4 linked regions of the Astyanax mexicanus genome follow. The protein of the gene in region 2 binds, or shares a complex with, the protein of the main gene of each other region. Links are inferred from orthologs where the notes say so. Each region holds a gene or a part of one and is shown on either strand. Other genes may lie near its edges. The genes, in order: efcab2, drc1, ccdc135 and gas8.

Evidence for each region.
Region 1: drc1 (region 2) and efcab2 share a complex: the UniProt entries of both Homo sapiens proteins name them as parts of the nexin-dynein regulatory complex. The link is inferred for Astyanax mexicanus from reciprocal best matches to the Homo sapiens genes DRC1 and DRC8.
Region 3: drc1 (region 2) and ccdc135 share a complex: the UniProt entries of both Homo sapiens proteins name them as parts of the nexin-dynein regulatory complex. The link is inferred for Astyanax mexicanus from reciprocal best matches to the Homo sapiens genes DRC1 and DRC7.
Region 4: drc1 (region 2) and gas8 share a complex: the UniProt entries of both Homo sapiens proteins name them as parts of the nexin-dynein regulatory complex. The link is inferred for Astyanax mexicanus from reciprocal best matches to the Homo sapiens genes DRC1 and DRC4.

The regions. Positions count from the first base shown.
Region 1 is NC_064421.1:67,548-75,105, reverse strand, and holds the start of efcab2 (dynein regulatory complex protein 8), read right to left. Parts: upstream 3,006-7,558; 5' UTR 2,929-3,005; coding exon 2,904-2,928; intron 1,506-2,903; coding exon 1,427-1,505; intron 1,328-1,426; coding exon 1,255-1,327; intron 806-1,254; coding exon 726-805; intron 426-725; coding exon 383-425; intron 200-382; coding exon 133-199; intron 1-132. UniProt on the Homo sapiens protein: Component of the nexin-dynein regulatory complex (N-DRC), a key regulator of ciliary/flagellar motility which maintains the alignment and integrity of the distal axoneme and regulates microtubule sliding in motile axonemes.
Region 2 is NC_064408.1:51,791,838-51,799,759, forward strand, and holds the start of drc1 (dynein regulatory complex protein 1), read right to left. Parts: upstream 3,009-7,922; 5' UTR 2,859-3,008; coding exon 2,746-2,858; intron 2,635-2,745; coding exon 2,547-2,634; intron 2,010-2,546; coding exon 1,897-2,009; intron 1,803-1,896; coding exon 1,619-1,802; intron 948-1,618; coding exon 810-947; intron 464-809; coding exon 377-463; intron 257-376; coding exon 134-256; intron 1-133. UniProt on the Homo sapiens protein: Component of the nexin-dynein regulatory complex (N-DRC) a key regulator of ciliary/flagellar motility which maintains the alignment and integrity of the distal axoneme and regulates microtubule sliding in motile axonemes.
Region 3 is NC_064417.1:7,192,612-7,200,250, forward strand, and holds the start of ccdc135 (dynein regulatory complex subunit 7), read right to left. Parts: upstream 3,008-7,639; 5' UTR 2,901-3,007; intron 1,076-2,900; coding exon 909-1,075; intron 1-908. Other genes in the region: lcat (phosphatidylcholine-sterol acyltransferase), read left to right, coding at 5,109-5,256, 6,662-6,818, 7,638-7,639. UniProt on the Homo sapiens protein: Component of the nexin-dynein regulatory complex (N-DRC) a key regulator of ciliary/flagellar motility which maintains the alignment and integrity of the distal axoneme and regulates microtubule sliding in motile axonemes.
Region 4 is NC_064416.1:13,274,939-13,281,841, forward strand, and holds the start of gas8 (dynein regulatory complex subunit 4), read left to right. Parts: upstream 1-3,885; 5' UTR 3,886-4,074; coding exon 4,075-4,077; intron 4,078-4,273; coding exon 4,274-4,366; intron 4,367-5,714; coding exon 5,715-5,912; intron 5,913-6,008; coding exon 6,009-6,215; intron 6,216-6,337; coding exon 6,338-6,392; intron 6,393-6,843; coding exon 6,844-6,903. Other genes in the region: tcf25 (transcription factor 25), read right to left, coding at 4-86, 207-272, 385-512, 638-709, 947-1,063, 2,592-2,804. UniProt on the Homo sapiens protein: Component of the nexin-dynein regulatory complex (N-DRC), a key regulator of ciliary/flagellar motility which maintains the alignment and integrity of the distal axoneme and regulates microtubule sliding in motile axonemes.

The sequences.
Region 1 (7,558 bases), on a different chromosome or scaffold from region 2:
CACCCACAACACCACCCTCAGCTCTGAGACTCGAAACACAGTCAGGAATTTCTAATTAATCTTCAGTAAACTTTACATATCTGATGATGTCACCGGCAGTGGGAGGAGCTAAAGTCTAAGTGCTGGATTTACCTTCCTGTGTTAAATATCTGCTGAGCTCCTCCGGATCCAGGTGTCCTTTCTTCTGCTGATCCAGAACCTGAAACACATTTATATTATTTATTATTATTTAATTTAACAACCAGATTCGCTCTATAAACACCTTTAGCACACAGTCCTGATCTCCCTCCTGATCTCCTGCTCTACAGGATTCAGACTGTGTGCTTTTGCACCGCTGAAGTTAAATTAATATCTGAACAAGATGAACGTAAGAGTTTCTGACCTCAAACGCCTGAAGCAGAAGATCCTCAGGAACGGGACGTAACCTGACAGAACAAATCAGAACCTCCAATCAGAACCTCCGATCAGAACCTCCAATCAGAACCTCCGATCAGAACCTCCAATCAGAACCTCCGATCAGAACCTCCAATCAGAACCTCCAATCAGAACCTCCAATCAGAACTTCCGATGAGAACCTCCGATCAGAACCTCCGATCAGAACCTCCGATCAGAACTTCCGATGAGAACCTCCGATCAGAATTTCTGATCAGAACCTCCAATCAGAACTGGAGTTTGAAATAATTCAGATTAATCAGTTCAGTGTAAACGCAGTGATCAAGAGTTACTTGTTCTCCATCAGGATTCGGGACATGGTCGGCAGGAACTTCTCAAAACGGATGAAGCCCGCTGGCTCCTCCTCCTCGATCTGTAACAACATTTCCAGCACTGCTCATTAAACCAGTCTATAAACGAGTATATAAACCAGTTTATAAACCTCTATATAACCCAGTCTATAACATATGAGCCAGTCTATAACATATAAATTAGCATATAAACCAGTCTATAAATCAGTATATAAACCAGTATAGAAATCAATCTAAACCACAGTATACAAACCAGTCTATAACATATAAACAAGTCTAAAAACCAGTATATAAACCAGTCTATAACCAAGTAAATAAATCAGTATACAAACCAGTCTATAAACCTCTATATAACCCAGTCTATAAACATATATATAACCCAGTCTATAAACCAGTATATAAACCTGTCTGTAACCTATAAACCAGTATATAACTTAGTATATAAACCAGTATAAAAGACACAGCCGCAGATTTAATATAATATGTCTGAAATATGTAAATGAGCTCTGACCTCAGCGATGACGTCATGCAGTTCAGCTTCGGTGGGAAATCGACCGAGAGAACGAATAATCGTCCCGATCTCCCTAAAAACAAACAAACAAACAAATCGGATCAGATTCATTACAGAACCCGATCAGAACTCAGAACTCTACATCACTATAATCTGCAGAATCAGAACCAACCTGACGTCCACAGTTTGATTCTGTTCATGATCAAAAACATCAAACGCGCTCCGGATCTTCTTCTGGACCTCCGACACACCTGAACACAATCAGAACCTCCTGATCAGAACCTTCAGAACCTCCTGAACTCTTAACTGGGACTAATGAGAGGGAGTCCATCTCTCCTGTACAGGACTTCCTGTACCGACTGTCGGTCAATTTATAATTAAAGTTTTAACAGCGTCTCCATCAGACCATCATCTCCGACCTTCTGCATCCATATTCAACCCGACGAGTCCTAAAAATCAGCAGCTCTTAGAGACGCTTAAACTCCTGAACTGAAGTCAGAAGATTACAGAGCTTTAACTGTGGAATAATCTGCATCTCCCTCCATCACTGTTTTAATACTAATCTAAAATCGTACCTGTACTCTCAGGACTTTCAGTGTGTTCAGTTCTGAGTGTCTGGGGTTAATCTGAATCTTGTTTCCTGATGCTACTTTTTTATTTATCTTATATCTTATTTGTTGTTTAGTTTTATATATTTAATTGTTCGTACTTCTGTATTGTACAGTACTTTGGTTGGTATTTGTGGTTTTTAAATTAGAAATACATTTGACTTGACTATTATATATTATATTTTATATATTTTCAAATGTACTAGCATTTTAGCAACTGTATGTGATACAGCTAGGTGGCAGCAAACACACGCACTTTAGAAATTTGGATAGAGTGCCAATTATACAGTATATTACATTTTTACAATTAAATATACAGGAGAATCGACACTGTATTGTAAATATAAAGGAAGTGCGTGTGTTTGCTGCCACCTAGCTGTATCATACACCGTTGCTGAAATGCTAGTAAATTTGTAAATATATAAAATATAATATATAATAGAGTTATAATACAGGATTTGTATAATATTAATGGGTGTGAATTTTCCCCATGATTCAAAGTGAACACCCCCGTTATTTAGATGTGTAAATCCTATAGATTTGGAGCTGTTGGTGTTTTTTTTTCTTATCTGGGAACATTAATAGGTGATTTTATGCACTAAAAGTGATTTAGAGGTGAATAAATGAGTGTGTACAGATGTAGAGAGGGTATAGAATTAGATGCATTTTATTCTAAATGGTAAAGTGCTTTCAGTTTTTTTATATTAATACTAAAAGTGCGTTGGGTAACTCTTTACTGTTACAGAGCAGTGTTATAGTGTTCCAGTGTTGCCAGATTATTGATCTTGTCGCTGGATTTAGAGAATGATTTATTTATTTTTATTTTTAAACGTAAGTAAATGAATCAGAGGAACGTGGATGTGTTTAAACAGCGCTGTTTCTCCTACTTTCTCTGCATCAGGTCACTGAAATAAAAACGCGTTAATATCTGGCAACCCAGCAGAGCCGCGCTGACAGTGACGCCGCGGTTCGAGATTAATCGGTAATTGGATTAATTGATTAATCGGTTTAAAGAGTTAATAAAGAGAACCCGATGTTTACCTGCAAGCGCGCGCTCCTCCGCCATTCCACCGCGGATCTGGTTGCTTAGATACGGACGCGCTGCTGGTAGCTGGGTTGCCAGATAGTGCAACCCCCCCAAACTCCGCCCACTAAACTACAATCAGCTCTAAATTCTGCACAACACAGAAAAGACTGAGTTTTATATAAAATCTGATTATAAATTAGATTATAGATTAAAGTAATAATGCAACTGTTCTAATATAAATCTTATATTTAAATTAAGCTTAATGAAATATGAAATGTACAGCCAAAACATTAAGACCACCTCCCCCCAATGCAGCTCAGATTACAGAACTGTGCAGGAGAAATCTCCAGATCTCCAGAAGATCAACACTGGAGCTTCATTACATTACTGTACTTAATTACATTACAGTACTTTATTACATTACTGTACTTAATTACATTACAGTACTTTATTACATGACATTACTTCATCACTGTTAAATATTCCTGAGCTGCTGCTGTTCTGGGATCAGTGGTGGGATCAGATGTTTCAGGATGTGGAAGCTAAAGTTCTTTAAGCTCCACATTTCAGTAAAAGTACAGAAGTATTTAACATTATTTGTATTTCAATACTGGAGTAGTTTACAGTAAAATGTACTGAAGTACTGAGAGTAAAGTACAGTACTGTGTTCTGTATTTATTACAGAAATCGATGTTTATTAAAGACGTTAATTAAAAACATTAAAAAATAAAACCCGGACACTGCAGACTATAAATATATACATTTATCACAAAATTACCATTTTCATATCCAAATAAAATATAAATAAAGGTATGTGAGGGTCCGCAGGTCTGGTGCATTGTGGGTAGTGTAGGCGTTTATTCCTCCAGCAGGATCTCCACCTCCTCCATCGGCGCTCGGAGCCGGAGCTCCTTCTCCACCAGCAGATCCAAAAACTCCTGAACCCGATCCGGAAACAACCGCACCGCGTCCATATACACACACTGCACAAACGCACACACATACACACACATTATATATATATACATATATATAAATAACACACACACACACACACACCATATATACACATATATATAAATAAAACACACACACAATACATATATATATATATATATATATATATATATATATATATATATATATATATATATATATACATATAAATAACACACACACACACACACACAATACATATATATAAATAACACATACAAACACACACCATATAAATATACACACACTATACGTATATATAGAGAGGGACTCACTTTAGCCCAGGGGACGTTCTGTAGAGCTTTATAGAAGATTCCTCTTCCTCTCTCTGTGTCCCCGTTACACACCTGCACACACCCACCATCATCACCATCATCACCATCATCACCATTATCACCATAATCACCATAATCACCATCACCACCATCACCATAATCACCATCGCCATCATCGCCATTATCGCCATAATCACCATTATCACTATCATCACTATCATCACTATCATCACCATAATCACCATCATTACCATCATTACCATCATTACCATCATCCCATTATCACCATCATCACCATCATCACTATCATCACCATAATCACCATTATTAGCATTATCACCATCATCACCATCATCACCATAATCACCATAATCACCATTATTAGCATTATCACCATCATCACCATTATCCCATTATCGCCATCATCGCCATCATCACCATTATCCCATTATCACCATCATCGCCATCATCACCATTATCCCATTATCACCATCATCACCATCATCACCATTATCCCATTATCACCATAATCACCATAATCACCATAATCACCATCATCCCATTATCACCATAATCACCATCATCCCATTATCACCATCATCACCATCATCACCATAATCACCATTATTAGCATTATCACCATCATCACCATCATCACCATTATCCCATTATCACCATCATCGCCATCATCACCATTATCCCATTATCACCATCATCGCCATTATCCCATTATCACCATAATCACCATCATCCCATTATCACCATAATCACCATAATCACCATAATCACCATCATCCCATTATCACCATCATCACCATCATCACCATAATCACCATTATTAGCATTATCACCATCATCACCATCATCACCATTATCCCATTATCACCATAATCACCATCATCCCATTATCACTATAATCACCATAATCACCATCATCCCATTATCACCATCATCACCATCATCACCATCATCCCATTATCACCATAATCACCATTATTAGCATTATCACCATAATCACCATTATTAGCATTATCACCATCATCACCATCATCCCATTATCACCACAATCACCACAATCACCATCATCCCATTATCACCATAATCACCATAATCACCATAATCACCATCATCCCATTATCACCATAATCACCATCACCACCATCACCATAATCACCATCGCCATCATCGCCATTATCGCCATAATCACTATCATCACTATCATCACCATAATCACCATCATTACCATTATCCCCATAATCACCATCATCCCATTATCACCATCATCACCATCATCACCATCATCCCATTATCACCATCATCCCATTATCACCATAATCACCATAATCAACATCACCATCACCACCATCATCACCATAGCCATCATCGCCATTATCACCATTATCACCATCATCACTATCATCACTATCATCACCATAATCACCATAATCACCATCGCCATTATCACTATCATCACTATCATCACCATAATCACCATCATTACCATTATCCCCATAATCGCCATAATCACCATCATCCCATTATCACCATCATCACCATCATCACCATCATCACTATCATCCCATTATCACCATAATCACCATAATCACCATCATCACCATTATTACCATCATCACCATCATCACCATCATCACCATAATCACCATAATCACCATTCATCACCATTATCACCATCATCACCATAATCACCAACATCTTCATCCCCGTCCCTGAAACCCATACACTTTAGGGTTAACAGACAAAAGAGGGAAAGATGTTTTACCATAAAGTTCATGTACATCCTCCACAGCAGGGGGCAGTGGGCTCCCTCCTCCGTCGCCACGGCAACCTCAAACAGTGAGCGGATACGGTTACTAAGGCCCGTCTCCGGGATCACTGGCAGAGCATCGGCTGGAAGACCCAACCTGAGAGAGAGACGGGAGGGGTTAGTGTGTATAGTGTGTGTGTGTGTGTGTAGAGTGTGTGTGTGTGTGTGTGTGTGTGTACAGTGTGTAGTGTGTGTGTGTTTGTGTAGTTCTGTTCTGACCTGATGACGGAGTCGAGGTGTTGTTTCCTCCGCTGCTCTGCGGTGATGGAGAACAGGTGTGGTATGATGGTCTGGTTGCCCCTGGCGACGGTGTGGAAGAACCTGCGGGCGCGGCCGGCGCTATGGTAACGGCTCTCGGTCAGCAGGTAGAAGTGCCACAGGGTGGCGCTGCAGGGCAGGAGGCGCAGGGCGTCGGTCAGCGCCATCCGGAGGCGGGACAGGGGGAAGGCGCTGGTGCTGGAGTGCAGCCGCAGCAGTGCCACATGCAGGACGCACACGGCCTCGCGCTCTCTGAGTGACGGGTCGGGTTCTGTGCCAGTGGCAGTGGCAGTGGCAGTGCCGGGTGTCAGCCGCTCTCTGGCTTCAGTGAAGACCGCATCAGCAGCGTCAATCCCCACCGTCAGGTACTGGAACAGTCCGAAACAGCCAATCAGAGCACTCCGTGGTGTCCCGCCCTCTGCAGCTGCTGATAGGGCGTTCTCGTACGCTTTCCGGGCCTTTAGAACCGACACCGGGCTCACCTGCCCTGAGAACCCGCTGTACCCGCCCCCCTCCGCCAGCCTGCTCAGAACATAGACAGCCCGAGAGCCAGTGGGCGGAGCCACGGAGGCTTTAGCTCCGCCCATGCACGCCTGCTCCACCTCTAACTGGGCGTACAAAAGGCAGAGTTCGCAGAGGGTGTGGTCCTGCAGTCCTGAAGCCCCTCCCACTGCGAGTGCCGTGTCGAACACTCTCCGCCCCTCCTCCACATTACCCACAATCCACTGCAGGTGAGCGTACTCCCGCCACAGGCTGAGGCTGCTGCGGTTCTCCGGCAGCTTCAGTAACCGTTTCCCCACCCGCTTCCCGCGCCGCACCGCAACCCGCAACCGCTTACTGCTGCTGCTGTACACACACCGCAACACCTGCAATACACACACACACACACACACTTATTATACACACATTACACACACCGCTTCCCTCGCCGCAACCCGCAACCGCTTACTGCTGCTGCTGTACACGCACCGCAATTATCGTTTACTACAGTTCAAATAATCTCACAGGTCACATGTTTCACGCTTGCGCTGTACTGGATAAACTGTTACTCAGTACTGAATTACCTGAGTACAGTATTTAATGTATATCAGTAATTGACTGACCTTCAGCTTCTCGTACTGCAGCCAGCAGAGCGACAGGACAGTTCTGTCCGGCGCCCTGACCAGTGGCAGGACCCGTTCCAGAACGTTCCCCAGAAACTCCTCCCCCTCCTTACATAGCCCCACATGCTTCCTGACATCACTCAGGTGTGTCATGTGACCCACAGCGCTGATCCCGGTCAGAGGGAGGTGGCAGGAGGTCAGAGGTCGCTCTG
Region 2 (7,922 bases):
AAAATATGCAAATTCAAACTTTTACTTAACATTTCCAAATAGTTTGTGCATTAGGACAAAATTTTATAATAAACATAGGGTTTAATGAATCAAACTTCCTTCTCTATAACAGTTGAAGCGTAATATAGTATACCTCGCTTTGAGTCTCTAGATTGAGTTTCATCATGTTGTACTCCTTTATATTTGCAACTCTTAGTCGATGCAGCAGAACCTCATTCTCCTCCTTCTGTTTAATCCTCTGCAGTAGGTGCTCCAGCTTCTCTCATACATAGAATCAGAGGGTAGACACGTATATTAGCACCAATAGCATTATTGAATCTCTGATGTATGCATTGTGTAGTAAAATAATGGCTGTTGAAGTCTTTTTGCCTTTTACCTCTCTGTCGCTCCGCTCTTTCCTCTGCTGCTCCCACTTTTTCAAGTTGCTTGTGAGCAGAGTCTTTCGTTCATCATCAAATGAATTCTGTAACATCACCAGGCAAAAAGATAAGTGAGTCCAAGAGTCCTGGATAACTACATATTTGGTGTAATGATATAATGTAGGGCATTATCTTCACAAATATAAGTATCAAAAGAACATTTTCTGCATTCTGACCACAAAAATAGCATAGTGTTGTATTTTCCATAACCTTTAAATCTATACTGTGTTGTGTGTTTTAATATAGAAAATATTGAAAGAATTAATATATCAAGTGATTCCTGTAGATTCCTGTGTTACTGTTGGATACCAAGCTACTAGATGTATGAACTATGCTGACTTATGAATATGCTTGTTGCTGAACTCCCAACAGCAGAAAGTATTACCACACCTCGATCAGATCCAGCTCTTGTCTATACAACTTCATCAGAGACGTCATCTGCTCTTGCATTTTCTCTCTCATGAGATCCACGTCTTCTGCCTGCTTTTTCAGCTCTTTCACATAACGGTCATCACTTGATTTTAGTTCCTTCACAAACACAAATGTATTTATGATATCTTTTGAATCTGTGATGTTATACGCCATGGTATAAAAACACAACATTTAGAAACAAAACATAACATTAAAACATGCTCTTGTCACATCTAGTCACATTTTGAGACACAATATTTTAGGTTGAGGATTTATGAATTTTGTGAACTATAACACTCTTTGTAGTTCTTGTAAAGTACCTACTTTGATTAATCACTGCTCTATTAAGTTATATCAGGTGAACTGCTGCTGCTGGTGAATTTTAAATCATAGCATTGAGAAGAAATCTGGAAGCAAACCAGTGTCCTTTTAATAAGCTCACAATTGTTAATGTAACACTGTGTTTTAAAAATGCATAAACACATTGTTGTGCAGAATAATGATTGTAAGAATTTTCTTAGGCACTTAATGGTATATGCCAAATGCATTATATATACGTATTTGCACATTTTAAAACTTAACTTCAGGACAAACTTAAAAAGAAAACAAACAAAAGTCTTTTACAAGAGCATTATTTTACTAATTCCAATGTAGCTAAGATTTTTTTCCTTCTCTTAATATTAGTCTAATTTCTGTCATTTCTGTATTACTCCCATTGTACTGTATAATCCAAAAAATGTTCTCAAAAACATGGTTATATCTATGTGTGTGTGCATTTGTTTTCTTACGTGCTGCAGTTCATTGATGAGTTTATTCTTGTCTTCAGTGATCAGCATGCAGAGCTGCTGCTGGCTTTTCAGAGCATCTCTCAGATCCTGAGGAATTTCCTTTGCTTTGGCCACAGGCCAATTTTGAGTGACCTCCTCGAACTTCTCAAGGCTGGATTTTGCCTCGTTCTCCAACTTTTCATTTCTGTGCAGTATTATTAACATAAGATGTGTTATCATGAGACACGCATTTATATGAGTATGTGGAATCATCTCTGGATGTGTGTTTGAGTGTTTACCTTAATCTACGTGCTTCCGCTAGCTGTGCTCTCCTCTTTGTCTCTCTGGCATCTGCTGCCACCAAGATGTTGGTCACTAACTCTGTGCCATCAGTTTGCAGTTTAAGCATACGCTGCAGAGATTTACAGATATGTAAATAAGCACAAAGGTTCTGTACACTTGATAAGAGATTCACATCTAGACAAGCCAGATAAGTAAAAAAAAAACAAGTGCTGTAAAGTTAAGTCAGAACTCTGCAACTGAACATTCAGCAACAAAAAAGAAGAAGAGAAAAAAACACCTTTTACGGGTCTCTTCCAACCAGTTTAACCATTCAAACACTTTAATTAAATATTTTACGTTTCATACTGCCATTTGGCGTTTACAAAAGGCCAAAAAGATTTAATTTAAATAGGTGCTTTTTGCATAAGGCTGAATATGGCTGTGTACTGTATAATGTTTTCTGCAACATGAAGGACACCTTGTGGTTTTTTGATGATGCTACATCGTAGTGTTCTTAAAAAAACGGAGAGATAACTTTGTGTGGGAGATATCTGCACGAATCAGCTAGGTTAACTGATGTAATAACAGATATAATCAGATAATCAGAAAAAAACCCTCCTGAGGGTTAATAAACCTCTTAGTCATCAGGTTGTTCTGATCTAATTACCTTCTCACTCTGATCCACTTGTTTCTGGCTGGTCCGGGGCTCCTCTGTGTTCTCCTCCTGCTCCTGAGCCTCTTCCCCGAGCTCCAGTCTGTCAGACACAGTTCAGAGAGGATCAGAGAGGAGATCTCTGGAGAAGACAGTTAGTTATGTTAAGGTTATTCAGTTTAAGAAGAGTCAGTGAAGGTCAGGCTGGACTCACCGGGTCCTGGCCTCGGTCCGCGCGGCTATCCGGAGGCGGCGCGCCGCTATCCGCTCCTCCGGACTGTCGGACTCCACAGCGGGGCTCAGCTCGCCCGGGCCCGCCCGTGACATCTCCCCTGTAACTCAGCGGAGCAGAAGAAAAGAGGAAATGAGGGAGAGGACAGGTGAGTTTCACAGAGTTGGGCTGAATTCACTGTTGTTACCCGCGTTGCTATGAAACAGTCAGAGCCCCCCTCTATCAAAACATTACTGAGGCCCGCTAGAGGGAGCCCGCGAGAGAGAACTCAGTGAAGGGGGGGCTGTGGGCTGTGACCAAACTGGCTCCCTACTCCCTTAAAAGTGTCGCACTACATAGGGGTACACAGGAGTGAATTCGGACACTCAGTTTCATTATCAGGCGCCAGCACCGGTAGCATTAACACACACAGGTGGGGGTTGAGCCATGTTTAAAACTCCATAAACTCACTGAACTGAATTAAGTTAAGTGAAGCTCTGAGCTGATCATGGAGTAATCTCTGCTATATTTACACTGTTTACAAACATTAATCCTCATTAATTAACTACATGGAGAGACACCTCAAATTAACAGCGCACACCGGCTCGCAGTGTTGCCAGATTGGGTGGTTTCATGCTAAATGTCGAGTGTAATGTCCGTATATGCACTCTCTAAAAGTGACAGTGTTCAATTTCTGTATGCCACACATTACATCGAGTGTGCTTTGACGGGTGAACAAAACTACCAAGTGTTAAGAGTTTGTAAATTTAACTCAGCAGTGTTATAGATAGATATCTAACCTTGCAGGAACAGAGCCTTTAGTCCTGCTGATGGATATTTGAATAAACAACAGTTTGTTATTGTTTGAGTATTTATTTCTTTTATTTCTTTCACGTTTATTTTTTATGTTCTGTAAATACTTTTCTTTGGTTCCTACGTATCATATAATCAGTGATGGTATAGTTACTTTGAAAAAGTAACCCGATTACTGATTACTCCTTTAAAAAGTAACTTAGTTACTTCATGGATTACTTGATTTTAAAAGTAACTAAGTTACTTTAGAAGTTACTTTATTAGTTACTTTCAGCAGCTGCAGACACCACCTCCTGCCGCCTTAACATAAAAATTATAACCAGTTTTGCCAATACTCCCTTTAATAGAAATGCATTTTTAACAGCAACAATGTATCTCTAGACATTTAAAGTTGAACTATTTCCTGAAAAAATAAGTTTTTTTTTATAAAAATAAAAAGACCATTTATCTTGAATTAACTTAATATATATATATATATATATATATATATATATATATATATATATATATATATATATATTTAATAAAATATGGTCTTTCTTGATTTAACTTTCTTGATTTAACTTAACATAAATACTTGCTTTATAAAAAAATATTAAATAAATGAAGTCTTTCTTGACCTGCAATATTTAACACGGTAAAACTGAACATTGAACCTGTTTCTCTGCAGGGCAGCAAGGAGTGGTTTTATAAAACAAAACCGTATATGATCTAGGCCACATATATGCGGACTGCGGTCCGGGTCTGGACCCAGACGTTGTACAATGCGGACCCAAACCGATAAACTACTGAGAAGGATTTAATTCTGACAGCGTTTATTTAAAGCGGTGGAACGTTTATTGTCTTATTATAGTCTTTTAGAACAACGTTTGTGGAATTACCTTTAATAACAAATAAACCATTATTTTCTGTACTTCTGTTTATTATTAGTTACATCCAAGTAAAGGTCACTTTACAAACTAAACATGTTACTCCACTTTACATTTACAGTTGTTAGAAAACAATATGCGTGCAATGTCTGAATTAAATACATATATGAGAAAAAAAACTGATGAGGTATCACCTAATGTTTAAAATAATATAATAGATTTTAGTTTAGTAGCTAATGAGCTGGATCTGGTGAAAACACACAATTTTAGTCCAGTGATCAGGGATAAGAAACTGCTTCAAACTACCAACATAAAGTATTGTACTGAAGTCTGGCTGTCCACTAAATCCAGTTTTTAGCTAAGTAGTTAAGCTAGCTAAAATAATTGTTCTTCATTAAAATTTACAGTAATCCTGCAATCCTAATCTACAAATCACAATGACTATCACAAGCTCACAGAGGGTATGATCTGTGGGTTTTGATTCGTTTATTTTTAACCATCTATCAGAAATAATCTCAACACAGTTTACATGGTTAGATCCGTTACTTTTCTTTTAGAAAAATAGCTGTATATCCAGATATGTTTTATCGTCAGCCCCGCTGCACCCCTTAAAAAGAAAACATTACAAATCCTCCACAGCAATCCTCCGCGCTTCGCAAAACCAGCGAGCTGATTGGCTGTTTCTCTTAAGAGGAGTGACTTTCTTTCTGAACCGGCGGCTCCGTGATTAGCGCTAAGAGATTTTCCATTTACACAGCATTCTGTCTACTCATTAAAAACACAGCTGAGCTGAGAGAAACGATTCGCTCCTGGCGACGCCATTGTTCTGCGGTATAATGTTTGGGGGAGGACAAATCCACCTGTTTCTGATATTGGGTGGGACATGTCCCCCGTTCCTACGCCTATGGTCTTTATGGTTTACGTGCTTTACAGCGCAGTAAATTTACTGACCAATCACGTGTGCTGTAAAAAACGCTCTCCTTTGCCAATCCTATGCTACGGTGGCCGAGAAAGCCCAGCGCAGTGCAAATTGAAAAGCGCTGCAAAAGCACAAAACACATCCATCAAAATTACAACACAGGCGCAGCAAATAGAAAAACGCGCTGCAAATAGAAAAACGCGCTGCAAAAAGAAAAACGCGCTGCAAATAGAACCACAACACAACGGAAGTGAGTCACAACACAACGGAATTTTCCCGGGGGACCTTAAAAGATGCTGTACCAGCTGTATACAAAGGACAATAAGTGGCAAACAAGCTTCTGAAAAGTAAGTTATGTTTATTAAAAGTTCTGCTTCACAAAACGCCTTGTTTGCCACTTATTGTCCTTTGTACACATAGTGAAGTCCGAGACATTACTGAAGACGCAGCTTAGCTGGTACAGTACCTGGTACAGGTCCCCCGGGAATATTCCCTTGTGTTGTGACTCACTTCCGTTGTGTTGTGGTTCTATTTGCAGCGCGTTTTTCTATTTGCAGCGCGTTTTTCTAGTTGCAGCGCGTTTTTCTAGTTGCAGCGCGTTTTTCTAGTTGCAGCGCGTTTTTCTAGTTGCTGCGCGTTTTTCTAGTTGCTGCGCCTGTGTTGTAATTTTGATGGATGTGTTTTGTGCTTTTGCAGCGCTTTTCCATTTGCACTGCGTTGGGCTTTCTCGGCCACCGTACCAATCAGATCTGTGCAGATATGAGCGCGCGGAGCCACACAGGCGAAGCAGGCGGTGAGAAGTGGGAGAATAAAGCGAGAAAAGATGAGAATACAGATGGTGCGCACCAGAAAAATACATTAAGATACTACCTTTATAAAACATATTAGCAGTAATGTAATAGAGCGGTGTTACTTGGAGGAATTAAAGAGAAACAACCGAGACAAGAGTCCAAAATATTCCACTTTACTCCACCTGATCAGAACTCCTCAGAAAGAAAAAAACTCCCTCGCTCGCAGGCGCGCTCTCTCTACTCCCAAAACAACCCTACCTCAAAACTACGGCAACGCCCAGGGTACAAAAAGCATTGGCAACTTCCCCCATCAGTTTTACCCACAACATAATTAAGTCTGATACAGTAATAATATTAAATAAAATAAAACTACTGTTTTTTTTTAAGCTGATATTTTGGCCAAGTTCAGCAAACATTTCTTCATATATTGTATGATTTGCCATTCACGTAATTATAATGACAGGCAGGCCTAAATCTAATATAAATACAATCAAATTGAATAAATATAGCATTTTTAAACAAAGTTAACATACAGATTCACATTCTCGATAAATTTAGGGTGTTTCCATTAATTTTATGATAGGGTGATAATGTAATTATTGTGACAGGTCTATTTAAAACAATACATATTGTTGAAATATACTAGTATGTGTAATTTGTTTTGTCTTTCAGTTGTTGATGACATAAAACACTGACAGAAGTACTAGGCTTCTTCAGTATACAGTATACAATACTAAATCATAACACAAGTTAAAAATGGCGACGGTCCGGACCTCAGCCTGGCGTAACTGGACCAAACTGAATCCTAATTAAATACCCCTGCTGTAGTAGATCAGTCCAGATCATGACAGTGCACTGATTTATGCTGAATTTTACTTCAGAAACATTTGCTAGATGTAAAGCATTACCCTGCTCATGTCAGACTGTGACTACTGTACAAAAAAACAACAACAATTTCAAAAGATGGAATGGACTTCAGCCATGTGTGTGTGTTTGCGTGTGTAATTTGGAAAATAAAAACCACTGGAGAGTGTCTTCTGTGTATTGCTAATTAAAAATTGCATATTAGGAAGTGCAGTATGGTTTTGCAAATGGAAAACAGAGTGGAGAATAGTCATTTTAGTACATTTTAGTTATTTTCTGTTTCTTTGCCAGGGTTTTTGTTCAATGTCTAACACTGACATCAAGTGCATGTAAGTGGAATAGCAGACCTGATACATTATCAGAATATTGTGCCTTGTGACCCTTACAAATATGAAAAATAATTACTTAAGGAAAATTACCATGCAATTAAAACGTGCTTGATCTAGAGGTGCAGCAAACGATTTTAATTATAGTGACATTGTTTATTTTATTTGCCATGATATTTGACCAAATTTTGCCTTGACAAGATGCAAGGTAAGTATGGAGACAATATGACAAATATTAGGTGAGTTAAATATTATTCATTACTGAACATTTAGTACGTGTCTTCAGTCACTTGAAAATAAAACAGTGTGAAGGTTGTGATTTCACTGGGATGTCTTTATGGGGTGAGTTTTCCCAGATGTGCACATGAAATTTTCACACACTTTTAAATAAATTATTTTGATATCCCGAGAGCTGTGAATTCTTAGACATGGTTTAATAAATTGCTTGATATTTTTATGAATATAGCTATATTCAGTATACATACATATTATAGTAATAATATTTTATAATATTATATAATCTTCATCATCATTTATTATTATTAGATTATTATTATTAGTAGTAGTAGGAGTAGAAGTAGTAGGAGTAATATATAAG
Region 3 (7,639 bases), on a different chromosome or scaffold from region 2:
TTATATAATATTCTTGGGTTTTTATTGGCTGTAAGCCATAATCATCAACAATAAAAAAAAAACTTAAAATATATCACTCTGTGTGTAATAAATCTATATAATGTAGTAAGGTTTTACATTTTGAACTGAATTACTGAAATTAAGTAACTTTTCAATGATATTCTAATTTCTGAGATGCACTAGTATATACTACGGCATATGGCTATAGAACAAAATGCACTTTTAAGCAGCATGTTAACATGCTTACAGGCAAACTTAAGCAAAAATGCAGCTTCCTATATCAAAACAACATGTGTTTCCCAATTAGCATAAGAAGATTAATAAAGCAACACTGTTGTTTATTCTGGATTGTTTTAGATTTTGTGAATCACTCTGCTTTAAGGTTTTTTATTGGTGACCTAGATTTTATACAGCAAGCATCACTGTGTAAAAAGGTTGAGTGATCTTCTCTTTCATTAGGAAACACATAAAATTCTGTCAGAATCTTACTTTCAGCTATATATTACTTATTATTAGACTACTAAAGAAAAGCAACACTCATTAGGTGTGTTGTTAACTTGACCACCAGATGTGAGGCCATGTTTTCATCATGCTTGAAATCTGGACTTCCTATGGTTTTCTCAAGACCACAACATGCTAAGAGCATGCTAAAGCCACTGTTTGCTATCTTAACACACATGTTGACCTTTAGTAACCCCATACTCAATACACAGCCTATTGATTTTTGTTTGGGTGGTCTTCCTGAGTGTGTTTTCCCCCTCAGCACAGCGTGTATGAGACATTACATCTTCATGTTTGCAGTCAGTGATTGTGTAATGCAAACAGTCGGGGTGGCATAACCATGATACCGGCTCACTTTAACACAAGCACAGAGTTTACCAAGCGCCAACGAACTATAGTAACCTCACAGTTGGGCTGCTGAGGGGGCTATCTGCACTTTGGCCAGCGTCTCCTCCAGTTCCCGTAACTCGCTCAGACCTCCATCCTCTCCTCCCTCCTCCTCCTCCTGCTCTGCCTCCTCCTCCTGGAGCTCAGCTTCTTCCAGCTCAGGCTCGACCTCCGGCAGCATCTCCATCTACAAGGAGTGAAAACAAGGCACATGCTGCAGTCCAGGGGACCTGCCATCCCACCGATTCATGTTTTCAGGCTTTCATGTTTTCTAACACACCTGCTTTAGCTCTTGAACATAACTGGCAGATGGCAAGCATGAAAAACATTAGATAAGAGCAAAACTGTGCAAATACAGCAAGACCAAACTGTGTGAAAAACATACCTTTTGAAGAATATACGGTGCTGTGAAATAGTATTTGCCCCCTACAGATTTAGTTTAGCTTTCAGATTAACAAACACATTTTAATATAAAACAAATATAACATATATAAATATAAAAAGCAAAAATCTATCCAAACCAACTTGGCCCTATGTGAAAAAGTATTTGCCTCCAAATCTAATAACTTGGCTGTGCCACCCTTGGCATCAACTGCAATCAAGCATTTGCGATAAATGAATCTTTTTCACCCACTGTTCTTTGCAGAATTATTTTAATTCAGCCATACTGGAAGGTATTTGAGCATAAACAGCCTGTTTAAAATCAAGCCACATCACTTTTTTTTAAGCCATTCAGATGTAGACTGATATGCCTTGGATAATTGTCCTGCTGCACAACCCAAGTACGCCTACGCTTAAGGTCACAAACTGATGGCCAGGCATTCTCCTTTAGAGTTTTTGGTAGAGAGCATCATGGTTCATGGATTCATGGTTCCATCAATTATAGCAATTGTCCAGCTCCTGAAGAAGCAAAGCAATGTTCTTTGTGTTCTTGTTGGTCAGCAGTGGTTTTTGCCTTAGAACTCTTTCATGGACGTCCGTTTCACCCAGTCTCTTTCTTTTTATTGAATTATTAACATTGACCTTATCTGAGGCAAGTGTGATAGATGTCAATGACTTTACTTTGAATTTCTTTTTGATAATGTGTTGCTGCTATATACAGTACTAGTCAAAAGTTTGAACACACCTCTTCTCATTACACTTTTTTCTTTCTTTTTATATATATTTTTTTACATTGTAAAATTAATAAGATCACAGGATTTCATTTTCCAGGGGGTTTCATTGGCTGTAAGCCATAATCATCAACAACAAAAGAAAAAAACTCCTAAAATAGATCACTCTGTGTGTAATGCATCTTTATGATATATGTCACATTTTTAACTGAATTACTGAAATAATGTAATTTTTCAATAATATTATATTTTTTCAGATGTACCTGTATGTATGTATCTTATATGTATCTTATATTGTTTTTAACCAGAGCTCTGCTCTTGGAAAGATAGATTTTACTGTTTTGATAATTTAAATAAATACAAGTGCCCTGGTAAAAATCAGTACTTATACAGCTCTGGAAAAAAATAAAAGACCACCAGTTTCTTTGATTTTACCACATTGAAAACCTAAGAAATATACTCAAGAGGAAGATGGATGATCACAAACCATCAAACCAAGCTGAACTGCTTGATTTTTGTATCCAAACAGTTCAGCAAATAAATGGTCTAAATGACAATATTTTTATTTGGAATTTGGGAGAAATGTTGTCTGTAGTTTATAGAATAAAACAACAATGTTCATTTTACTCAAACATAAACCTATGCAAAATCAGAGAAACTGATTCAGAAACTGAAGTGGTCTCTTATTTTTTTTCCAGAGCTGTAACGTTATTTGTTAAATGTGAGTGAGACCCAAAAAAAACAGAATATCACAGCTAAATATATTTAGATTACAGACAGTTAGAAAACGTGCACACACTAACCCTTGTTTTACAATCTTCACTACATAGTAAAGCTGTATATAATACAGACTATTCTGGTTTACTATATGAGATATTTACGTTAGTATGAACCGCTTACCTTTTACTCCTCAGTAACGCTGGAACTGTTTATACTCGGTTTCCATAAGCGACAAAATCCCCGCCCATGGCCCTTCACCACCTAAACCAATCCGCGAGCCGCATTCTCCCAAAGCCCGCCCCTCCGGCGCTCACTCCTGTGCTTGGATTGGCTCGTGGATACTCACGAGCTCACGTACGTTAGATTTTAAAACATATTTAACCAATATTATTTTTTAAAATCACATATTTCACGTTTACTGTGCAAACATTTTGGCACATGTGAAAATAATTACAACTAAAATCTAAAACGATATATGAGAATAAATACTAAATGTTAACTCAAAAATATTTATGCTTAATAAAATATTTTCAAATCTCTCCTTATTAGGAGTCTGGTATTATTTATGGTTATCATGTAACACGTGTTTTAGTAATCAAAAAATGATATGTCGTATAATGAGTCCAAAATGAATGAAGCAACTGAGCAGGGTTTATAATTGTCTAATTATTTTCATACCCAAAATATACTAATTTCCACAACACAGAAAAATATACTAATTTCCACAACACAGAAAAATATAACATGTTTCAGCACCGAAGACAAACCTTTTAAACAATCAAATGATTATTAGTCATGTAGTAGTGTATCAGTTTACTCCTTAAGAATTTTCTCAATGCTAATGTAATCCATGACTGACTGGCCACACACACACACACACACACACATACAAAGGATGTATCAGGAGCGGGAACCGTGTCAGACAATAACAGAATAAAGATTGCTGTTTAATTTTGTGTGTGTAAAAATAGATTATAAGAGACACTCTTCTCGTATGGAGGTGACATCATGTTAAAATAAAACAATGTGTGGCCACGACTTAGTAAGGCATGGGAATGAGATCCTAAGGCGTGGCCACGGCTTATAATAATTAAGTCGAATAATAAAGCTTGCTGTTCTGTAAATAAATGCCCATGAAGAAACTGAATATTACATCAAAGCTCCAATCCAAGGATAATCTTTTGTAAGAAAACGGAGAGTGGATTGGTTTCTATATATTTTCATCTTGGAATGAATTATAGTGATATTTAGATTTATACTCTTGCAGTGAGACTGGGCTAATTCTAAGTAAAAGGCCCATATTTCTCATCTCATACACGTTTATCTATCTTAGGCAGTCATACTGTGCCAGTTGTACAGAATAAATTTGCCATAGCACTTTAAAGCATTTGCTGCTTGTATAATTTAATAAGAAATGTTATCTGTGTTCTGCACACGTGAAAAAATAATGTGTAATTTGACCAAATTCAATCAAATCTGAGAAAATTTTTCAAAGTGACAGAGAAAAACTGTAATTTGAGTTCTTAGCCATTTAGCTCCATTTAGCACCCATTCATTTTGAACTCCCTCGCGGGCTCCCTCTAGCGGTTTACAGTCATTTTCTAATATAACGGGGAGATTGCACGTGGGTAGTCTATTCTCTGCATTACCCATCTCTCAGCAGAGTGAGAGTACTACAGGAGTATTAATGAACCTAACATTCATCCCAGCTGTAAATGATTAACTGCCCAGTAGTACGATCAATAGAGCCAGGACACTGGTTCTGTGCGACAGATCCCAACGAGAATGCATTACTGTTAAGGTTTTTTTTTTAAAAGCAGTCAGAAAAGTTCATTTTGGTTCATGTGGTTAAATAAGGTTTGGTTTAGGACTCCAGGGGTGTTTATATAACAGTGTGTGTGTGTGTGTGTGTGTGTGTGTGTGTGTGTGTGTGTGTGTGTGTGTGTGTGTGTGTGTGTTTGGGGGGGGGGGGGGGTTCTAAGGACAAAAAAGAAACACTGAAAGTAAAAAGATGCAGCTGCTCCTTCTTGATTTCCTACAATAATATTAGAATATTATATTCGAATATAATGATAATATTAGTTATTCTACACCAATTGTAAATATTAAAATATCACTGCATTGGCTATTATATTTATGTTCATAGCCTGCAGGGCAATAATTATAAAAACGAAAGAGAGAAAAGATATAATATAATATATATATATATATATATGTGGTATTTAAGCGCGTTTCTTGTTGTGTCCTGTCCGGCTCATATTTACCTGCTGCGCTGACCTCATCGCCCCCTGGCGCTCCCTCAGCATTAAAACTCCTCCACTGCTCCGGGCTCAGACAGAAAGTCAGCCCAGCCCGTTACCGGAGAGCCAGCCACACGGAGAGGAAATCATGCAGGGCTCGCGTGCGCTGAGCTCCGTGATCATCGTTCTGATTGCCCTTCATCAGTGTTCAGCCTTCTGGCTTCTGAACGTGATCTTCCCCCCTACAGCCAAACCTCGTGTACCAAGTAACAGCACACTTCCACCACTCATCATAGGTAAGATAACGCTTTGGTAACATAGTAGATATAGTTTAGTAACATCATAGTGTGACAGCATTTATGTTTGGGTTTGATGCCATAGCTGGAAATGCTTTGATGGCATAGCCAGACACAGTTTGGTGACATTCCTGTACATAGTTTATTGACATTAGTGGATATAGTTTAATACCATTGCTTGATAGAGTTGGGTGACATTGCTGAATGTAGTTTGAATGCATAGCAAGACATGGTTAGGTGGCATTGCTGAAAAAAGTTTGATGGAATAGCCAGACATAGCTTGCTGGCATTGCTGAATAAAGTTTGATTAAATAGCCAGACATAGTTGGTGGAATTGCTGAATATAGTTGGGTTGCAATGTTGGACATAATTTGATGGCATAGCCAGACATAATTTGGTGGCATTGCTGGATATGGTTGGTTGACATTGCTGGACATAGCCAGACATAGTTTGGTGTCATTGCTGAATGTAGTTTGAATGCATAGCAAGACATGGCATTGCTGGAAAATGTTTGATGGAATAGCCAGACATAGTTTGGTGGCATTGCTGAATATAGTTGGGTGACATTGCTGGACATAGTTTGATGGCATTGCTGGATAGATTTTGGTGGCATGGACAGACACAGTTTGCTGACATCCTTGTACATATTTTTTGGTGGCATACCTGTATAGAGTTTGGTGACATTGCTGGATATAGTTGGTGACATCAGAGGATGTGGTTTGGTGGCATTGTTGGACATAGGTTGATGGCATAGCCAGTGGTGGCATGGCCAGACACAGTTTTTTGTAGATAAATTGGTGGCATTGCTGGATATGGTTTGGTGTTATTACTAGAAATAGATTGGTGGCATTGCCTGTTATGATTTAATGCTATTGCTGGACATAGTTTGATGACACTGCTGGGCATAGTTTGGTGACATTGCTGGAGTAAGTAGGGTGGCATTGCTGGACATTGCTGCTGTTGCCGGATAAAGTTGGTGGCATTGCCAGACACAGTTTGCTGACATTTCTGTACATAGCTTGGGGACACTACTAGAGTAAGACAGTTTGGTGTTGGTGGCATTGCTGGACATTAGTGCCTTTACCAGACATAGTTTGGAAGCATTGCCAAACATAGTTTGGTGGACTAGCTGGACATTGGTGCCATTACCAGACATAGTTTGAAGGTTTTGCTGGACATGGTTTGGCAGCATTTTTCGTTATAATTTGTTGGCATTGCTGGATATAGTTTGGAGGCATTACTGGACATAGCTTGGCAGCATAGCTTGAACTGGTTTGGTGGTAGTCCTGGACATAGATTGGTTCCACTGCTGGAGCCACTATGTTCTGTAGTGAAAATTCATGGGCTATGAAAATGTCTCATTTGAACTATTACTCTCCTGAACTCCTTGACCCTGATGATTTAGTGCCTGGGAATTTGGGAAATCGCCTTGAAGCGAAGATTGACAAGCCTTCACTGGTCCACTGGTTATGCTACAAGAAATCTGAGGACTGGTTTCCCCTGTGGATCGACCTCAACATGTTCATGCCTATTGGTGTTGACTGCTGGATTGATAACATGAGGTGAGGAATTGAATAGCACATCTTACATAGGTTAAAATGTAGGTATTTTAAGAGTTAAGGGTTTGATATGTTAATATCAATATAATAATATTTATTTTCTTACACTTATGTATATTTGTGAGAAAAGAAAGCTGCCAGCTCATTTGGGCTATGATAACTCAATCCAGGTGGCCTTCATATGGATGGTCCTAACTCACTCCCATGACACCACCACATTCTTTCCCTAATACCCTAGGAAAGGTCAGTGCACATGTATAGCATCCCACTGGGGACTGGCAGATTTACCATCTTTCCCACTCGCAAAACATCCCTAAAAGTGTAAGAATTCTGGCAGGGATCAACATGGCACTGGTTCTTAAAAAACCTTCACTGATATATTTAATAACCTTGTGCTACCTAACTCACACTGGAAATGGAGAACCAGTTTTTTAGGCCCAGATTAAATTTAGTATGGTGGTAAATCACCAAAAACAGTCCCTACCCAAAATATTTTGGGTAAGTAAACTGCAATGTGGAAGGTGTTCTACAATTAAAACTCCCATTTAGTTTAGGTTTAGGTTTAGTTTGACCAGAAACCATCTTTACAATTCAAACACTGTCCCATCTGTCCATTGAATAATGCTTTTTTGACTGGCAGGTACAGGGGTAAATGCCCAGCTATCAGATTTTATGGCTGCCCTCCAGTTGCTGAAGCAATTAACCTTTTGTCTGTTGTTTTTGGATAGTTCTCAAACAGCAAACATGATGACGACAAATGGACCCCAGTTGACAACATTTCACAAAAAAATGACTCACTGTGTGTCTTTCTGTACAATGTAGGA
Region 4 (6,903 bases), on a different chromosome or scaffold from region 2:
TACCTGGTTTACTAAAGCGAGGCCAAGTGTCTTTAGGTGCGGTCATCCATGTACTTCTGTGAAACTGCCTCTGTCGTTGCCTGGGCCTGAAAGGAAAAAACACACATACAAATTAACCAAAAAACAAGCCACAATAAAAAGTGACGGTCTTACAGTACATGTATGTGCATGCTTAAAAAACATCGAAAAATAGAAACCAAACCAACCTTTGGTCTCCCAAAACAGCCCGAGCTCCAAAATATCGCTTTAGTTCATTCTCAGGATTCAGGTTCCTAATAGACAAAAGTTAAGTTAAAAGTTAAAAGTTAACAGCAGCAATTTCTGAAACTGTAAAACAAAACGTATGCCATCCTTCAAACATTCAGAACTACAAACAGCCTTCACCTGTGCTCCACATAAAGTACAGGCCTATGGCCTGAGACTCCACTGTCCTCACTCTGGTGTGAAAGGCCATTGGTCTTTTCTATGGTCTCCAGCAGAGCGTCAATGTCATCCCCTGCAGTGGACTCCTCCTATGAAGATTTAGAAGATAGTAAGAGAAGAGGAAGAACAGAAACACAAGCAAAACCTCCAGTGTTAAAATGTTCTGTTTTACACAAGTTTATATGATATGTAATATATACAGTGCATGTCATACCTGCACATCCCCAGGAGCAGTCTTTTTTTTCTTCTTCTTCTTTTTCTTTTTTACTTTCTCGTTAGAGTCAGACTACAAAATAAAAAGAAAAGATAAGAATAGGAATGCTATGTTTAAATGGTTCTGTTTGTGATCAAATTTGCCACTAGATGTCATACAGAGCACCAGCATCTCAGGTCAGAACAAAAAAATGCAATTAACACAAGCCTTAACTTTGCCACGCATGTTAAAGGGTTGACTTGAGTCTCTTTAGAGAAGAATTTAACAGTTATTTGTCCGTTTTTAATTAATGGTAATGTAGTTTTAAACCTTTGTGGTCTCCATATCAGGTTGGCACTCTTGCTTTTGTACTCCATGGCTTCTCCCTGTCAACACGTTCTCCTCATCAGTGGGACTTTTGTCTGTATCATTGTCAGGGTCACCAATCTGTAACAGCACAGAAACAAATAAACATCCACCCTGCTAAGAAAATTATATAAACTGATAGAGGCAGTCACTCAATGTTTATTAGCAAAGATAGAAAATCAAGATATCTGTAATGCAGTTATCCTAATAGAGGTGCTAACTTTGAAAATCAATTATGAAATATTTACTATCAAAAATATCTGATCTAATGATCTATAAATATATACTGCCAGGATAGCATATGCCTTATACAATCTGAATCATATCATGCCATTGATTCTCATTTGCTCATATATACAATTACCTTTTACAGCTTCAGTTACAAAAATACTAGTGCATCTCAAAAAATTAGAATATCAGTGAAAAGTTACTTTATTTCAGTAATTCAATTCAAAATGTGAAACTGATATATCATATAGATGTATTACACACAGGGTGATCTATTAAGTGTTTATTTCTTTTTGTTGATGATTATGGCTTACAGCCAATGAAAACCCAAAAATCAGTGTCAAAATCAGAATATTATATAAGACCAATTGGTACTTTTGGAAGTGTGGACAGTGTGCCAAGTCCTACTGGAAAATGAAATCCTCATCTCCATTAAAGTTGTCAGCAGAGGGAAGCATGAAGTGCTGTAAGATTTTCTGGGAAAACACTGCCCTGACTTTAAACTTGATATAACACAGTTGACCAACACCAGCAGATGACATGTCTTTTCAAACCATCACTGATCATCAGTAAATTGTACATTTCATTTGGAAATCAAGGGATCAGAGTCTGCTGGAAGAGTGGAGACACACACAGTCCAAACTGCTTGAGGTCTAGTGTGACATTTCCACAATCAGTGATGGTTTGGAGAGACATGTCATCTGCTGGTGTTGATCCACTGTGTGTTATATCAAGTCTAAAGTCAGTGCAGTTTTGTTTTTCCACAAAATCTTACAGCACTTCATGCTTCCCTCTGCTGACAACTTTTATGGAGGTGTGAATTTTATTTTCCAGTAGGACTTGTACAATATGTCCATAAAATCCAGAGTTCTAATATATTTTAATTAATTAATATGTGTACCTGGATTTTTTAATAGAATAGAATACTGATGGTGTATTTTGACATAATGGTGTATTTTTGATTGTCTCAGACATCTGAGTTTAAAAAAAGAAAGAATTTACTATACAATCATATTCATCTTCTGGACCAACCGTGTCTCTTATTTGTGTATAGTAATGTTTATAATTCTATAGCTATATCTTTAATTGGACTTAAAAAGTACATGTTATGTAATTGTAGATGCCAGGAAGTGATTAAAGTAAACAAATAGTACTAATAATAACAGTAACAGTATTACTGGTTATATTGATGATGATAATAGGAGATTCTGGGAGTATGGCTGGTCAGTGTGGAGTTTCATAAGTTTGTTTATATCTGGAATAAGAAGGTTTAGCATTACAGAGATCCTGAATTTGAGTTTTATTGTATTAGTAAGAACTCTGGTTATCAGCAGTCAGTCTGTATCAGTCTTTAGCTGTTCAGTGTTATTAAAGTTCTGACCAGTTCATAAATGTTGCTAATGTTCTTCTGAGATTTGCTCCTCTTGGTTTTCCTGCCTGCTCCTCTGACCGGCTGCAGAACCTCCTCCTGCTCCTCTAACTCCTCTCCCTCCCGCGCCGCCTCCTCCTCCTCCTCCACCCGCAGCTCCGCGAGGTCCAGGTCCTCCTGGCCGCGCTGCTTCCCCTTCAGTCTGCGCAGCGCGCGGCTCGACATCTTCACAAACTCCCTAAAACCAGCGGATCTGCAGCAGCTGCGCCCAACTGAGACCCCACCATAACCAGCACCACCAGCGACCCAACAACACGCCTCCTGATTGGACAGCAGTACGGAAACGCTGTCACTGTCACTACCGGAAAACAAATAAAAGTCCCACATGTTAATACAACCAGAAAACTTTTTTTTAAGTATTTTTACAACCAACATCTCAAGCACATCAAAACAAAAACATAAATAGACAAACAAAATAAACAGAAAAAAGTGGGATTCAAATTAATTTAAAATATCGAAGGATTTATGTTTTTTTCTATTTTTAATTTGTCCAAAAATTTCCAGTAAGTAATAATAATTATTTAGGTCTGAATAAATAAAAGTTCGGAATAATGGTATCTATTACAAAGTAAATATAAAGTCAAATCACTATAATTATATTCATTAAGAAAAAATAATTGCATTTAGTAGAAGAGAGCTTTAAAGAATCTTTATAACTTTTGTTTTGTTGAATATATATGTATATTTTGTATTGTTTTGTTTTGTATTTTATTATGTTAGTTTAACCTAATTAAAACTTGATTTTATTTATATTTTATATATATATATATATATAAAAATGTAAAAGCATTAAAAAATCAACTAACCTAATTAATATTTAATTAGATTTCATTTTTAAAGAATTAAAATTATTTAAAAGTTGGACAAGCTAAAATAAAACAATTCACTAAATAAAAGCAGTCAAAGTAAGAGATCATTAATTAGAACAACAAAAAAAAGAACATAACCCCAAATGTAAAATCTGAGTAAGTAAAAATAACACTAACATAACAGTGAAGAAGGATAGGGGTAAAATTATTACAGAAGAAAAATATTAAATTATTATTATTAAAGCAAAAAGAATAAACATAATAATTACATGTTCATAATATATATCGTCCTTTTTTCGTAGTATAAATAAGAATAAATGATTAAAGATTCCTCGCATTGCTTAAAAAAACAACAAACACTTTCTGCTTGGGAATATTTACTGAGTGAGTGTGGAGAGTCTGCAGGGCAGCTCCACGCTGCAGCGACTCATTTCTATTCTCGCGAGATCTGAACTGGTTTCCATGGATCTGGTTTGTTGTTTGCAGACCATCAGCACAGGAGAGCTGTAGCTAAACTATCTAAAGCTAAATCACGAGAATATCTGTACAGTTTCTCTGCAGAAACACCCGAATACACACTGCCCTCATCTGACTGACCAGTACTAGCTACTTTACACACATACAGCATGGTAAGTGTGATTTAACAGCGTTAATTTGTTAGTTAGCTAACGTTATATAGGTTATATATCGGTATAGCTAGTGGAGGAGCTATCTAACCAGAGAGTTAGTTAAAGCTGTATAGACTAACAGTACATCATTAATGTGCGGTAATGCAGTGAGAATGGGTATTTGTAACATTATCCTCTCCAAATGTTCATATTTCAGCCTCCAAAAAAGAAAGGAGGGAAGACTGCGAAGGGCAAGAAGAGCCCTACAGTGGTGGATGGACTTTCCACAGAGGAAATGTCGAAGGAGCAGGTAAACTAATATTTTAGCCAGTTATAATGTCATTATTACTGTTTGTGTCTTCAGTGATAATTATCTAACAGGTTTCCAGCAGATTCAAAGGCTACTAAAGCTTTATAGTTTGTTTTTAAGGTTCCAACAACAATGAGACAGAAATTCTAAACGCATGTTGCCCCCCCTGTGGAGCAATGGAACTGAGTTTTTAGGAATGATGGTTCTCCATTTAGCACTTCTAGGGTGGTGAGTTGTTGAGATGGGGGTGAGGTGGGTTACTGTACAAAGGTGTGAAAAGTATTCACATTTAATATTCAAGTATAAGTATAGATACAAGGGTTTAAAAATACTTCTGTTTAAAAATACTTATTTTTAATCAAGTAAAAGTGTAAAAATACTTGTTTCAAAACTGCTTAAAGTATCTAAGTAAGAGTAATGTTAGGGGAAAATGCATTTAAATGCACATTTTTTTAAATGAAAGGAGTAGAAAGTACAGATAGTAGTGTGAAAATGTGAGGAGTAGAAAGTACAGATAGTAGTGTGAAAATGTGAGGAGTAGAAAGTACAGATAGTAGTGTGAAAATGTGAGGAGTAGAAAAACAGATAAATGTGTGAAATTGTGATGAGTAGAAAGTACAGATAATTATGTGAAAATGAAGGAGTAGAAGTTACAAGTCATCTTAAAATAATTACTCCAGTAAAGTATAGATAACCAACATTTCTACTCAAGTAAGGTAACAAATCATGTATACTGTGTAATATGACACTTCTGGGTGGTGATCATCCAATATCCTGTTCTCACTAACACGATTGTGGCTAAATGCAATAAAATCCCAACAGCAATGATCCAAAATCTATAATAAAGCCTTCCCTGGACAGTCGAGACATTTACTCCAACAAAAGCTCTATGAACTCTATTTATAATAATAAAATAAGCAGTTGTCCATATATTGTATATTGACTTTAAAGTGACAGTCCATAGGTTCTGGTGAGGATGTGAATTTGCACTGAGCATGCTAAAAGTACTTTTAAAATGTGCATTTTAGGCAAAGTCTTTTTACCAGAGTTAGCGAAACTGGTGACTGTTTGCACTCTCCTTAATTCACCAGTTCTCTCCTGGTCTATTTCTGTGTTTCTTTGGTTTAGTGAGATCTGAATGAGCTGATAAAGACTGTGTTTGCTGTTCTGATATCGTTACATTCACAATAGTTTTTTGTATCAACATCATTATTAGCACTATGGTTGTTCATGTTCTATGACCTACCAGACACCCTGTTTTTAGAATGAATATATGTGGCTTTGCAGGAAGCACACTGATGCCAAGTATTAAAACTAAAACTACGTCATTATCTTCATTCTTCATTAGTTGGAGGACCACATTGTCCGCTTGCGTGAAGAGCTGGACAGGGAGAGGGAAGAGCGCAACTACTTCCAACTGGAACGAGATAAGATCCACACCTTCTGGGAGATCACCAAAAGACAGCTGGAGGAAAAGAAAGCAGATCTCAGGAACAGGGATCGGGAAATGGAAGAGGCTGAGGAACGCCATCAAGTTGAGATCAAGGTATCAAGAATGATAATGAGAAGCTCTGGCACATGAAACACTGAAAAAGTTTAGATCTATCATGAATGATCTAACGGTGTTCGTTCTGTTATTCAGGTGTACAAACAGAAGGTGAAACACTTGCTGTATGAACAGCAGAACAGCATCGCAGAGCTCAAGACAGAGGGAGTGGTCACCACCAAACTGCTGCAGAAGGAACATGCAGACCTGGAGAATGATCTGCGGAAGGGCATTCGGAATCTAAAAGTGGATATCAAGGAACAGGAGCTTTCCAGTGAAAATCTGATCAAGAGTCTTAAACTGGTGTGTGAATGCTCAGCTTACAGCTAACATGACAGTCAGTGTTGATAGACTTTAGGCTGATAAGATGTGGACTCTTTTTTAGTTAATGCTATGCAGTTACTAATCATACCTTCTTTTCCCAGAAACATGATGAGGAAATTACCAAGATCAGGAATGATTTTGAACGACAAGTACGAGGTGATGTATCTCACCCTTTTTTATTTGCTTTTATATTAGAGTAAATATTGTAATGTTACAGGCTATATCTCTCTTTTACATAATGTACTACTGGTCAAATCATTTACTAATTAAAGGATTTTTTAATCAAGTGAATAAACCTGTCAACAACTTAGAGCAGATCTGTTGCATTGGAAGTAAATTAACCCTGATGCAAATTTAATGCAAACAATTTACTATTTACAGTCCCTTTCTCTGTATAAAAACAGTGTTGGAACAAACAACAGTGTTTCACTACCACAGTATTTACACAACACTCTACATTCAGATCGCTCATTACTCATTATGACTAAAAAAAGACACTTAAGTTTTAGAGGTTTGATCACTTGGACTACTGAAAACATTTAGGGTCTAACTGTTCTCATACTTTTGACCAGTAGTGTAAATTATGCTATTTTGTTTTCTCTTGCAGAAATAGAGGCTAAATATGAAAAGAAAATGCTGGCTCTGCGCCAGGAGCAGGATCTCAGAC